Drosophila melanogaster: one gene and its partners. The protein of the gene in region 1 interacts with the protein of each later gene in a pairwise test. Each region holds a gene or a part of one and is shown on either strand. Other genes may lie near its edges. The genes, in order: CG14855, CG9757 and smal.

The links.
Region 2: the proteins of CG14855 (region 1) and CG9757 interact in a two-hybrid assay, tested with the Drosophila melanogaster proteins (one large-scale study listed by BioGRID).
Region 3: the proteins of CG14855 (region 1) and smal interact in a two-hybrid assay, tested with the Drosophila melanogaster proteins (one large-scale study listed by BioGRID).

The regions. Positions count from the first base shown.
Region 1 is NT_033777.3:14,794,457-14,799,075, forward strand, and holds CG14855 (uncharacterized protein), read left to right. Parts: upstream 1-1,848; 5' UTR 1,849-2,094; coding exon 2,095-2,427; intron 2,428-2,495; coding exon 2,496-2,754; intron 2,755-2,814; coding exon 2,815-3,229; intron 3,230-3,298; coding exon 3,299-3,962; 3' UTR 3,963-4,018; downstream 4,019-4,619. Other genes in the region: jvl (javelin-like), read left to right, coding at 73-606; CG14856 (uncharacterized protein), read left to right, coding at 4,616-4,619.
Region 2 is NT_033777.3:13,610,963-13,614,371, reverse strand, and holds CG9757 (uncharacterized protein), read left to right. Parts: upstream 1-1,938; 5' UTR 1,939-1,994; coding exon 1,995-2,378; 3' UTR 2,379-2,789; downstream 2,790-3,409.
Region 3 is NT_033779.5:6,177,407-6,182,182, forward strand, and holds the start of smal (smoke alarm), read left to right. Parts: upstream 1-1,726; 5' UTR 1,727-2,293; intron 2,294-4,776.

The DNA of each region.
Region 1 (4,619 bases):
TGTACCAAAGAATTGATATTCTATTCTGTTTTTCTTTGCTCTTACCCGAATTCTCCCGAAAATGATGCTTAGAATTTGGCCAACACCGTTGAAAAGCCAAATTTCCGTCTCAATAACCAAAATTGGCAACTATGGCAAACGAGCAGCAGCAGCCAGGGAAAGATTCAAATGGAACGATATCTGCCCCATGAGCTGCACGATGTGTCCGAGGAGACGGCCTACGATTCGTACTACACCGAATATACCACGCCCGATTCCATGGATTGTGGCAGTGCCAATCTCCTGGTCACTTTCGACTATGGCTACTGTGACTCCATGGAGGCCAGAGCTAATCCTGCAGCCCCGGAGGATGATGATCGGTGCGATGGCGTTGATCCTGATTATGGTGGTGATGGGTGTGCAGACGAGGTGGATGCCATCTGGTTTGGTACTCCGCCCAGGGATAAGAAGGACGAGAAACTGTTTGAGGTGCATCATGTGCAGCACAAGCTGCTGGATGACAGCATGCAGTCCTTGATTTCCTACGATGTTGATGATTTTGAGGAGGAGCTATCGGAACCAGATCCAGATGAAGAGATTTTCTATGATAGCATTGAGTGTGTTTAAGTGATTCCCGGGTGCAGGTGTTTAACTATCAACTATCATATCTAAACTAGTCCTTAGTTTCAAACCCCCATTTCACACGTTGTTTTGTAATTATCGAAAGAAAATGGATAAATATGTGTATGTAGCTGTAGTTTAGTGTTACGTGATGTGTATAATGTTGATTTAAATATATTTGGTTTAACTATCCAACGGCCCTGAAATTATCGATTGTAACTGAAATGAATTGTGACTGAATTGTATTGAACGTAATGTTTGTTTTCTCCATTAACCATTCAGGGCTTTAGTCTTTACGTAAATTGTTTCTTCGACTATTTATTAATAGCATATAATATGTATGCCTTACCCACTACTTTGTATGTAAAATATTATTTAGAGCGTGTGCATCTTTGTAAGGAGTCGTAAGTTAGTTATCCTGCACCATTGCCTATTTACTCAAAACTACATTTAATTGACTCGTACTAGGCCGGCTAAGTAGTTTAGTTGTTAATCAAATTTAGTTAACACATCGCATCTAATGTATGTATGTACAGTTTGGTATACTATCTTATTATGTATGTATTCTATTTAAGTCGAAAGGCAATTGTAATAGGCTCTATCTATCATGTTATCACGAAACTGCGTTTACTACATTTATAAAACCAACAGACATAGAAGTGAGGGAAACCAACATTTATGATTCATATTAAAGCTAATAATAATATATTCAAAAGGCAGCAAATGTAGACATGTATCCATTTCAACAGCAAATGTAATTGATAAACACATAAATGAAAAAAAAAAACACTAAAATAAAAATTATAAAAAATACATGAGTGCTTGATTTTTTATTAAATCCGTTGGATTACTGCGGTAAGTTTTGCGACTATGTATATACATTTTTTAGCTATCTTTTAATATTTTCAATCAACATATAATGGCGAGACATACTTTTACTTTGACACACTTACATATATATCAATCAAAATCAATCCAAGTTAACCCTCAGACTGCTGGGCTGCTTTTCAATGGCCAAGTGGCATAAATTGAAGTTAATTGATATTCAAATTTTGTAAATGCAGTGCAAAATTTCAAGCCGCCTTTTTCAAGCGAAACGTGACCGAGTGTCATTTTTCAAATTTCGCATAATTGAATAAGAGCGTTAAAGAGTTCGGAGAAAGGTATATTGGGCTCTCGTGTAAGCACCGCTCTCTTATTGCCGCCCCAGTGGAGCAGTTGGTACTCGAGACTGAGTCTCAGGCTCAACCAGTTGGCTATGTGCGCTCCCTGTCAGCGGAACATACAAATCCGGAACGGGTTTCGCCTGCGTTCAGTAACCCCGGACCCTTGAAAGCGTTTGGCTTGGGACTAATAAACCGATATTGAGAACCCGCTGGCGATTAGTTGACTCCCCAAACGCCTCCATAAATGTCGGATTTCTCAGATATGCGTTTATCATAGCACTGCGAAAGCCGCTACAATTGGGGACCGCTAAAATCTGATAACGACAGCATGGATTTCGAGGAGATTCTGGCCAAGTGCGGCAACAGCAGTCGTTATCAGTTTGTACTGCTGGCGCTCTATGGCTACCTAATGGTCGTCGTTTCGATGCACTATTTCTCACAAAACGTCATCAGTTTTGTGCCCGATCATTGGTGCTATCACGAGCAGCTGGAGAATCGCAGTTTCGCTGAAATCGAAAAGATATACTCTCAATTCGAGAAGCCCTCTTGCACGCGACTGGAGAAGATCGATGAGGATGGGCAGAACCACACGCTCAGTAGGGAGCGCTGCAATCGGTGGATCTATAAGTACGACTTTGGGTACAAAAGTATGAATACAGAGGTAAGTGCGTGATTATAATTTTCCGTTTTGGAAAAACTATGTTAGCTTTGGTTGTTATTGTGTTTCAGCTAAACTGGGTCTGCGATGAGGCATATAAAGCACGAGTGGGTCAGTCGCTTTTCTTTGTGGGTTCGGTGTGCGGAACTCTGGCTTTTGGTCTGCTTGGTGATCGAATAGGACGCATTAGGGCTTTGATTTTGGCCAACTGGTGTGGCTTCTTGGGCGATTTCTCAACCATATTCGCTGGGAGCCTAACTTCTTTTTCGATCAGCCGTTTTATATCTGGATTGGCGGCTGATGCCAACTCCTATCTCATGTACATACTGAGTAAGTAATTGCATGGAGTTCATAACGCAATGACTAGTTCAATTGGGTCTTTCTGGACAGTTCTCGAATACGTTTCACCCTCTTTGAGAAATGTGGGTCTCAATACAGTTTTGGGCAGCTTTTATTGTCTTGGCCTGATCGGAGCCTGCTGGCTAGCTGTCTGGGTGGGCCACTGGCGCATTTTCCTGGCGTGCTCCTCGGTTCCTCTGCTGCTGGTTACTCTGTTCTACTTCCTCGTCCAGGAGAGCGCCCAATGGCTGGTCACGCGAAACGATGTTGATGGAGCCATTAGGCGATTGGAGCGCGTGGCCAAGATCAATCGCCGCCAGGTGGCCGACAAAGACTTCAAGGATTTTCGCATCTACTGCGAGCAGCACTATCGCAAAGATAAGAACCAGGAGGAGCACGCAAAGTTGCTGGACATGCTGAAAACGCCGCGCATGCGCAGTACGGCATTTAAGCTGCTGCTCATATTGTAAGTACTAAATGAAATATATTCAAAGAGTTATTTTATTTATTTATTTACTTTATTTTATATCTGCAGTATAATCATCGTTCCCTGCTACAACACCATCGCTCGCAATGTTGAGGGTCTCGGCATTTCGCCTTTCATCATGTTTTCCCTAAATGCGCTGACTCTGCCACCCTCGGGTTATCTACAGGGTTTGCTCCAGGATCGGATGGGTCGCAAGGCCACCGCGGTCGGTTGGATGGCCATAACAGGAATATTTGCCGTCGCTGCTGGTCTGGTGATATCGCAAGGAAGCAATCGAAATGTACTGCTGCTGGTGGGTCTAACAATGGCGGCCAGATTTGGAGTTTCCATTGCCGATGGCGCCAGTTCCCAGTTCTCCACGGAACTAATCCCCACCAGCGTGCGGGGAAGGGGCGTGGCCGTGGTGCATGTGGCTGGATTTGCCGCCTCCTTCCTTTCTCCGTACATTCTTCACCTGGGCACCTACTACAAGCCAGCTCCGTCAATCATTTTGGGTCTTCTCTTCCTATCCGGAGCCTATGTGTGCCTGCTGCTGCCAGAGACTCGCAATAAGAAACTTCCAATGTCCTTGGCCGAAGGAGAAGAGTTCGGTCGTGGAGAAGGCATATTTGATTTTCTTCGTCATATGTTTAGGAGGGAAGGCAGTAAATCAGAGGTGGAAATGGGTCCCACGATTGTTGAGGAGGACACTCTGATTAATAAGCCGGTTTAGCAGTAAGTGCTGTTGTTATATATGAAATAGAAGTAATAAAAAGTAAATCGTTGATTAATTTGCATAGCAGCTTAAAATTCTTAGCTACGAAATGCCCCGCACTTTGCATAACCCGATATGCAGTCAAAAATTATAGACATTGTATTTAAATGTATTTCTCAGCTCTAAATTGGTATTGAAATGCTCTGAATAGCCACATGACATTGTTAGCTGGGTGTAAAGTCTTTAGCATCAACAAAACTGTCTGCATAAATAAACAGCAACATAGTTGTATATTTTGAATAGAAGACTGCCGATTACAGCGATGATATGGGAGCAACAAAGACGCTTATCAACCCCAATAATTAAATCACAACATATAAGTTATGATCGAATCGAGCAGTTCAGTTCGCTCACTTGAATCCGGAGACTTATCAGCTGCGGAGAGGAAACACCAAGAGTCGATTCGACTATTTAACTCCAATATTAGTTTACCGCAGCCGCTTTCACAAGGCGCTCTTAACTATTCAACTATTCGATGGAGGCGTTCGCCGAGCAGAGCGGACCAACAGCGCTAGCTACTGCCAGTGGCAGTACGTGCGTGGCAGCGGAGGAGAGCGGACCGCCGAACACAGATACTTTGACGGCACCCACGTAGCGGTGCATCTGCGGACATGG
Region 2 (3,409 bases), 1.2 Mb from region 1:
GTATTTTGACTATGACTGTCATAATCAGTGGAAGTAGAAAAAGGCAGCAGAAAACTTTCAGAAAGGCCAGGCAAACATTTAACCCTCAAAATTCTACCTTCTACCAACTTCACAGAAGACGATTAGTAGAATTACTGATTTACATTGGCCAGGTGTTCAGGTTTTTGGCCATAAAATTCCATAAATTATAGGTAGACCAGGTTCATGGTTGTTTAAATGTTGTAGCTTTTTAATGTGCGTTATAGAAAAATTACACGACCTTGAATGAAAACTTGAAAATACGTCTCAAACGGTATAAATAAGTGATATTAGTTTGGAAAGCTGAATAGTTTTTTGATGGTGATAACGATGACATTATAATTAGTTGATATGAAAAATGTTGGCAAACTAAAAAGTGCTAATAAACATTAAATCACGTGCCATTCAATTTAGATGTTTTTTACCTGCTTAAGCAAGGCGAATCTTTTTTAATGCGAGTCCCCCTTAAAAGTTTTTAATATTTTCTTGCTTGCATTTTGTTTGTTACTTCTTTAAAAGTTCAACACAAAGTTTTGCCTCGTCGCAGAAGGATGGCTATAATGTTGTGAAAAACGTAGGCAGTCTTGTCATTTTCTACATTTTACCTTATCCCCGTTGAACTGAACTGAACTCAACTGATGGTCGGCAATTGACGGATGACAGGTCAGACAGCAAATCAGTTTAATATACAAGTTTCAGACGTAGCAGATTTATTTTAACAGACACTTTGAGTGCATAATTGAATAAAAAGTTTTCGTATCTCGGTTTTTATTTCTCCAGAAAGTGATACAAATTGTTGGTTTACATTTATTATATTAGGTCAGGTCAGGTGAATTAATGTTTTCTAAGCATTTCAAAATATTTCCAGCCAATAAAGTAATTAAAAATAAGAAAATAAATATAATAAGCTGATGGTTTCTTCTGCTTTAAATATAAAACATGTTTCGCCATTTTTTGTTATGTAAGATAACGAGTCTGCCTAAAATGGGTTTTGAAGATCAACAACAAACTGGCTTTTGATTTTGTTTACTAAGTATTATTATTAATTATTAGTATTTCTGAGAATTTCATAAATTAGGATTTCTCCGCTTATAAACCTATTAAATCTAGGTTTTTATTTATAACACGCACACTTGTACTATTACGTACACTTGTATAGTTAATTACGGCAGAGTTCCTTTGTTTTGTAAATAGTATTGAATATTCCATACTTATAAATGAAGTGCTAAATCTTGATTAACAATGACCGAACCAGATCTTAAAATGTGCTAACCACTGAGCAAGCTAATAACCGAAATGAGTCAGTGCGTTGGCCAAAAATGAAACCGACAACATTGATGACATTTGAATAACAACCAGTTGCGTCGACTGTTTACCCTTAGATTTTAATTAAGTCAAACAAACAAAACAAAATCCCCGAACTTCCCGCATTGAAAAGCCTTACGAAATCCGACAGACGAAAGATGAATGGAGAGGCCCACTTGAGATGATGCTTCCCATCTACACTTGGCTTGGCCACTTGTCTATCGATCTGTTTTGTTGTGCGAGCCAAAGAAACTTGAATGTTTTGCGCATTTGAATAGTCGTCCGGAGAAAGCCCATCCTGAACCGGCTGGCCACTTCAGACTTTCCCCCTTCGTCTATACATTTGGTGGGGTGTTTGCCAAAAAGTTTGCCTCCGTTTCTGTTGCCTAATAGGTTTTGGTTATTATTATGGAGCAGCTTTATTGTTGTTGCTCATAGCGCTTAGCCAGACAGTTAATACGAATCGCTCTGCTCGTTGTATACATTTCAGTTCTGGCGTAACACTCACAACTTTGATGTTCCGCGCCCAGTCGAACCACTTCTACTTTTATTCGCTCCCCCATTGCCAGTCGATAAGTTCCGAATCATATAAATTGACCGGCCGCAGAGCAGAGACTTCGTAGAATCCATCGAAACTTTGCCGGTGATTAGTAGCAGAAGTTTCCTCGAAAATGCGCACATTTGTTTGCCTTGCCCTGGCGACCATTCTCCTGGTCGCCGGCTCATCAGCAGCCACATATGATCCTGTGGCGGCGCAACTTCTGGATGTGGATGCAGGTGTCCAGGCTCCGGTGGCAGCACGCCAAGCACGTCAGTTTGGCGGCGGCTTTGGCGGTCCGGGAGGCGGTTTCGGAGGTCCAGGCGGCGGATTCGGAGGTCAAGGCGGCGGATTCGGAGGTCCAGGCGGTGGATTCGGAGGTCAAGGCGGCGGATTCGGAGGTCAAGGCGGCTTCGGAGGCGGTGGCTTTGGTGGACGTCCAGGTGGCGGCTTTGGCGGTCCGGGAGGCGGCTTCGGAGGACCAGGCGGTGGCTTCGGTGGCGGATTTGGAGGCTAGAAACCAAGCAGCAATCATCTGTGACTGACTAAGCATAAAACGCTAGAAATAGACTTTGAAATCAAAGTGCAATCAAGCACGCTCTAATTAAGTTCGAAATACATTTGCCCCTCTTCTTTGATTCACTTAATTTCCTTGTCATTTGCATGGCTTTCAGTGATTGGCATTGGTCTTCAGGGTTAAATGTTGTTTGTGAATGCACTAGGAAAAAAAATGAATGTGGATACGAAAAGAAACAGGATGACTTGAAGCAATCAATGCTAAATTAAGAAGCTGATTAAAAGTATGCCACAGTATTTAAACTTTGGAGCCTTCAAACTTCCAGTCTTTCACAGTACAAGTATACGTATAAAAATGAAGATAAATTTGAAAATTTTTTTTCTTGGACTGTAAATCAGCATTTAATTCGTTCGTTCACGGTTTGTTTGCTTTTTCCTACTTATAACAAAGCAGTCCATTGAAGAAACTTTGCTTCGGCTGCTGCCACTGGCGTTTGCTATCTAACTTGCCAATCGCGTTGGATGGCAAAAGTCGTTTAAGATTAAACGCTTGCTGTAAAATTTCTCTTTTGACAAGCGCCCCTTTTATTGTTAAAAAATTAACTTGGCTTTAAATTTACGCCTTTTGTTATCCCTTGACCTCTGCGCAAAGTGAAGCCAACCAACCCAACCATTCCAAAAGCCCACCCACTCATACAAGGGTCATACGCCAACATTGATAAAAGTTTTCGTTTTTTTCTCGTTGCCCCATCACCCTCTTTTCATTTTTTCTGGCTCGTGAAAAATTTCTTGTTACTAGAACGCAGTCTTGTAAAAGGCTTTGTTAGTCTACACTTTCACGGTATACTTTGGGAACTTTGTTAAAAGTGGACTTTTCCCTTTTTTTTCCCAGCGATTTAATGACTTTGCATAGTTGGGGTTTAAGGAATTTAACAGCTTAAGATTAAGAATTTTAGTGCAAATAGACTAAAAAGAGCTTTAATACAGTCGAGAGTGCAGTGGGGGATAAATTGCTAGTTACACAATTTAAGA
Region 3 (4,776 bases), on another chromosome or scaffold:
ATGGGTATCTGATAGAATTTTTAATCTTCGAAAGCAGTCCATCGAGAATGTCAGTATCTATAAATACTTTATGGAGTGGGAAAGGTCTGGGACAATAAACAAATGTGGCAAAAGATACTATGCCAGTATCGCAGCATGGGGTTGATGTATTCACAGAGTCCTTGAAGGCTATGTAAATATTTACTCGTGATAACGCAACATTTGCTTGTTCTATCTATGTATGTATTTTGTATATCTATTAGCAGCGCTGAATGCATTTTTGTGTAAATTCCTGATCATAACCATTTGGCCGCCGCTCATCCGCTCGTCCGCTGATTTCTTTGACTGCCGGGCAGGCGAACAAGCCGTTTGACAGACAGCGCATGCCCAACGGCTTTGGCCGGAATGGGTATGAGTTATGGTTGGAAGTTGGCAATGCTTCTGCTGTCTGCTGTTTGTTTGTACACTCGGATGTGACAAATGGCCAATTGATAGGAACATGCAAAGAGTCTATCGAATAAAACTACGTACAAAGTTAAATTGACTACAAGACAGAATGTTTGATTTGCTGGAGTTGTCCTGTCAATAACATTTACATTAATCTTGCAGAATATTTGTATATATTTTTAAATTAATATCCAATTCATAGCTTTCTGGGTGTCTGTAATCATAAAATAGAAGACAAAAAACATGTTTTTTTTTTTTAACTAAGAAAACAGACAAAGAGACAGAAGAAGTACTGCTTTCATAAACAGTCACCATATATGATACAAATTGGTTACGGTTTCCAGATAACGCCTTTCCAAACGCTGTTCGCTTTTCGATAGGCGATCTGGCCCGGAGCGATATCAGTTGATTAGCGGCGATCCACTCGAGGAATTCGTTGTGGGCCCCTCGAAATTGTGTCACCGAGTCAAACATTCGAAAGTGGCGAAGAACAAAGGGTCGGATCAACTGGTGAGACCAATCAATCAACCCACAACCTCTGCGATACAATCTACAAGTGCGTAGCTATAAATCCCCATGCCCCACGAAAACCGTAGAGTTCGTAAATCATACATGTCCATATGATATGGTGCACCAATGTGACAAGATCGCATTTCTCTGCTGGAAATTATGACAAGTTGTATGTGCGATTTCGGCTTAATGCCGGCGTCAATCATTGGAAATTCATCAGAGGCCGCGATTGGCGGCGGTCCGCCATTTCCAATTTGGACTGCAAGGCGGATTCGCCGGAAAAAGCGAGCGAAAGGAAAAGTCGGGGAGGGTAAAAACAAATCAACAGTTCGAATTCGCTCTTGTTTTGTTCCACATTCGCCGCAGACGGAAATCTCTTATACGAGCCGGAAGAGAGCGGAAAAACTCTATCGGATTTGGAGTTTCTCGGCGATTTTCACAGAGCACAGGTGAAGTGCCTGGGCCTGGGCAGGTAAATTCAACTCCATTGTGGATAATTTTACTGAGAATTGAAAAACTTAGTTTTTAGCGCAGCATATACAATATAAACTATACTGTAGCTTAAATGATAAGTTTTAAGGAAACAAAAACATAGAAACAACTCCAAATTATGATTTAAATGTTAATTTGATAATATAAATCCTTGCAGGTCCTTTACAGCGCTCTCCACACATAAACTTTGTAAACAGTTCCACCGACGAGCGAACAGAGTCCACAAAAGAGAAGCGCTCGCTCTCTTAGCATCCACACTTACATGCAACGGAGTGGTGCGCTGCACGTTACATTCAATCGGATTCAATCGCTCGTCGACCTTCGTGCCGCGCGTTACAAGAGTCGCAGTCGCTGTCGCAGTCCGCCGTCTCAGTCTCAGTTTGTGCCCCCAGTCTCAATCCAGCTCTCGTGACAAGAAGAACAGAACGCCTTGGCCACTGGCAACGCGGTCGCGAATCAACGCAGTTACCCATCTCAGGCTTAATCGGCTGGCAGCCAATCGCCAAGAGATCCGACAGATACGGATACGCAATCCGCGCAGCGCGAGTGCAGAGATACGAATTGGTCAGGAATAAGATACGGTGCAAGTGGCACCCAAGATGCGGCAATTGTGCACCTGCGGCCGCCAGCAGCGTGCGGCAAAGTGTGTGAAATGTGCTACCTGAGAAAATGCCCACGGAGTGCTCAAACATATCGAAACAAACCAGCAGATAGAGTATCTTTTGCTGCCCCAGTGAACAACAGTGCTTGAAATTTTAGTAGAGAAATCGTTGTTTTTTGCTACAAACTAAAGTGCAAACGGAATACAATCAATATACACCTTAAGTCAACGCAAAGGCTAATTCAAAACTCTTGGAATATTTAGGTGAGTTGAGAGTGAAGAAAGGCCTAACTTGAAAACAATCAGTGCTCAATGCTCAAAGCAATCATGTCAATAAACAGGATTTCCCCATAGAGACTTTGCAATGCATAAATAAATATTGAGTTGCAAACAATCAATTAGTGCGACAAAAACAAGTTTATGTCAATTACTAACTAAATAATTCATTTATCCGAAAAGAAACCAGAAGAATATTGGCCCAATCAAATGTATCTCATCAAGGCGCATTCCAGAGATCAAAAGATATCATTTCCAACCCGTTCTCCCCATTTCTTACGGTGGCTGTCCCCTTGCCTCATTAATTAAACACAAATTAAGAAAGAGCCAAGCTGTCAACATCTGGGGCTAATCAAACTAACCTGCTGTATTTTATAAATAAGAAGCGAAGAAGAAAAGCGGCGGCAGGTCGTAAAACGCTAAGATACTGCCCTTATCTCCTAAAGAAAGATCTTTCTCCGAACACTTTGTGCCTCCGACGGCTGTTGCACACAGATTCTTATCTCGCAGATGCAGTTATGTATCTAGATATTCCGCAGTACAACCTCAACCTCGAGTCTTTGGCAACTTCACACTCCGCTAGACGCGCAACGAGGCCCCTGGATTTCATAATTTTCCCGCTGTTCTGCGGGGTAATTAAGTAGAAGTATGTTTGGCAATTAAAGTTCCAGAGACCTCGCTTTCGCTTTTTCCCCCCGCAATCATCAGCTTTTGTAAATAACTCGAGTTATTTTTCTTGCTCACTTGGGATGGTTTAGAAATTTAAGATTGAGATTGGGCATCCGATGGGTAGCGATTACCGCGAGCTGCGAAGATGCAGCCGCAATCGCGCATGCATAATTAATTTCGTGTAAAAATCATAATTACACCAATTAAAATTTGTGTAAACAAGTTGGCAGCAGGCGGGCGAGTCCCTCAATCTGCCCCAAGCGCCGTTTGGGGCGCAATCATTATGATAATACCGCTGAAAAAACTTTTCGTGGTCGATTGCGAGGGGAACTCTTTATTGCCATTGTAGAAAAAGTTGGTGGGCCCAGGCGGAATTGAGTTGGCTATATTATGGTAATGAGACGTTTGAGTATGCCTCCAATGAACAACAGATTTGCCGCAGATTTGCCCAATCTGCTTTAAACTGCGCCTAAAACCCATAATTCGATGTGCGTGAAAGAATTTAAAGCACCGAAGTTCATAGATGCATCCACATAGCTACCATTAACAGGTTGTATTCAATATTTTATTCAAATCTAACTAAAATACTAAGACAGCAAAGTGATAAAATTGATTAGCAATGAAATTATGAAATGCAATAATCGCTAGTTTTATTTCATTGCCACTGAATCCGAAAAATACGTTATTCATTCAAACGTTGCGTTGAATAAAATGTGAAATATGTTTGTGGAATTAAAAAAGGTGTATAAAACTATATTTATAAATATACAAAGTGTGCAGCTTGGAAATTCATGGGAATTATTATGAATTTATTTTGTACATAAACACACATCTCTTTCATTTACCTGCAACCATCTACCAACGAAATGAAAATGTGTATCTCAATTTTTGGGGGGAAAATATTTTCTTTTGTCAGCTGGGATTACGATGGAAATGGGGCAACAATATTTACCATGTTCTTCTGCAATTTTAATAAGGATCCATTTAAACAGCATTGATTAAACTTTGTTTTCATTAAAATCTAAACAAAGCCCATTCATGCAATGTCAAAAATAAATAATAAAATGTCTAATTAGACCATTAAATCCGATGGCAATATAACAGCCAGCTAGTCGCATTTGAACTATTTAAGTTTAATTTGAAATGCCAAGGTATATTTCTTCTTTAAATAAGTAAAATTCCACCGACGTGCGGCAATTTATATTAGTGTCTTCTTCAACGAATTCAACTTCCATTTAACCTCATTCTGTACACATCGCATCCCCCAGGTCATTTTTCAGGGGCTGGCAAACACAACAGTCAACAAAATTTATACCCAAGAAGTGTCATTCTCGTGTGCATTTCGGGCTTTTTTTTTGCCGCTGGTTCGACGAGATCGTGTCGCTGCCCACATGGCTGCCACCGAATTGCTGGCGGAGACTCCAACTCCTCCGCGTCCCCTAATTAATTAGCATCTAACTAAGAATAATGTTTCCTGCGGCCCTCGACTGTCATAACTTGGCCGCAAGTTTATTTGTTTGGCTCGCCAACCGAAGGCGGCGCACAAAAGACATAGCCACCATTCCGTGAGATACAGATACAAGTACACAGATACAGATACAGATACGGGGGAAAACTGGAGGCACAGATGCCAAGACGGCGCACAGGTGCCACATTTTCTTCGATTGCAGGGGTATAAATGCCGCCAGGAGCACTAATTCGTGGCTGCCACTCCGCATTTTTGTTTGTTAGTTTCGTTTGGCTGGGTTTTTATGGCCAGTGTTGGTTTTTTTTTTTAGTTTTTATACACTGGCGTTCTTGTG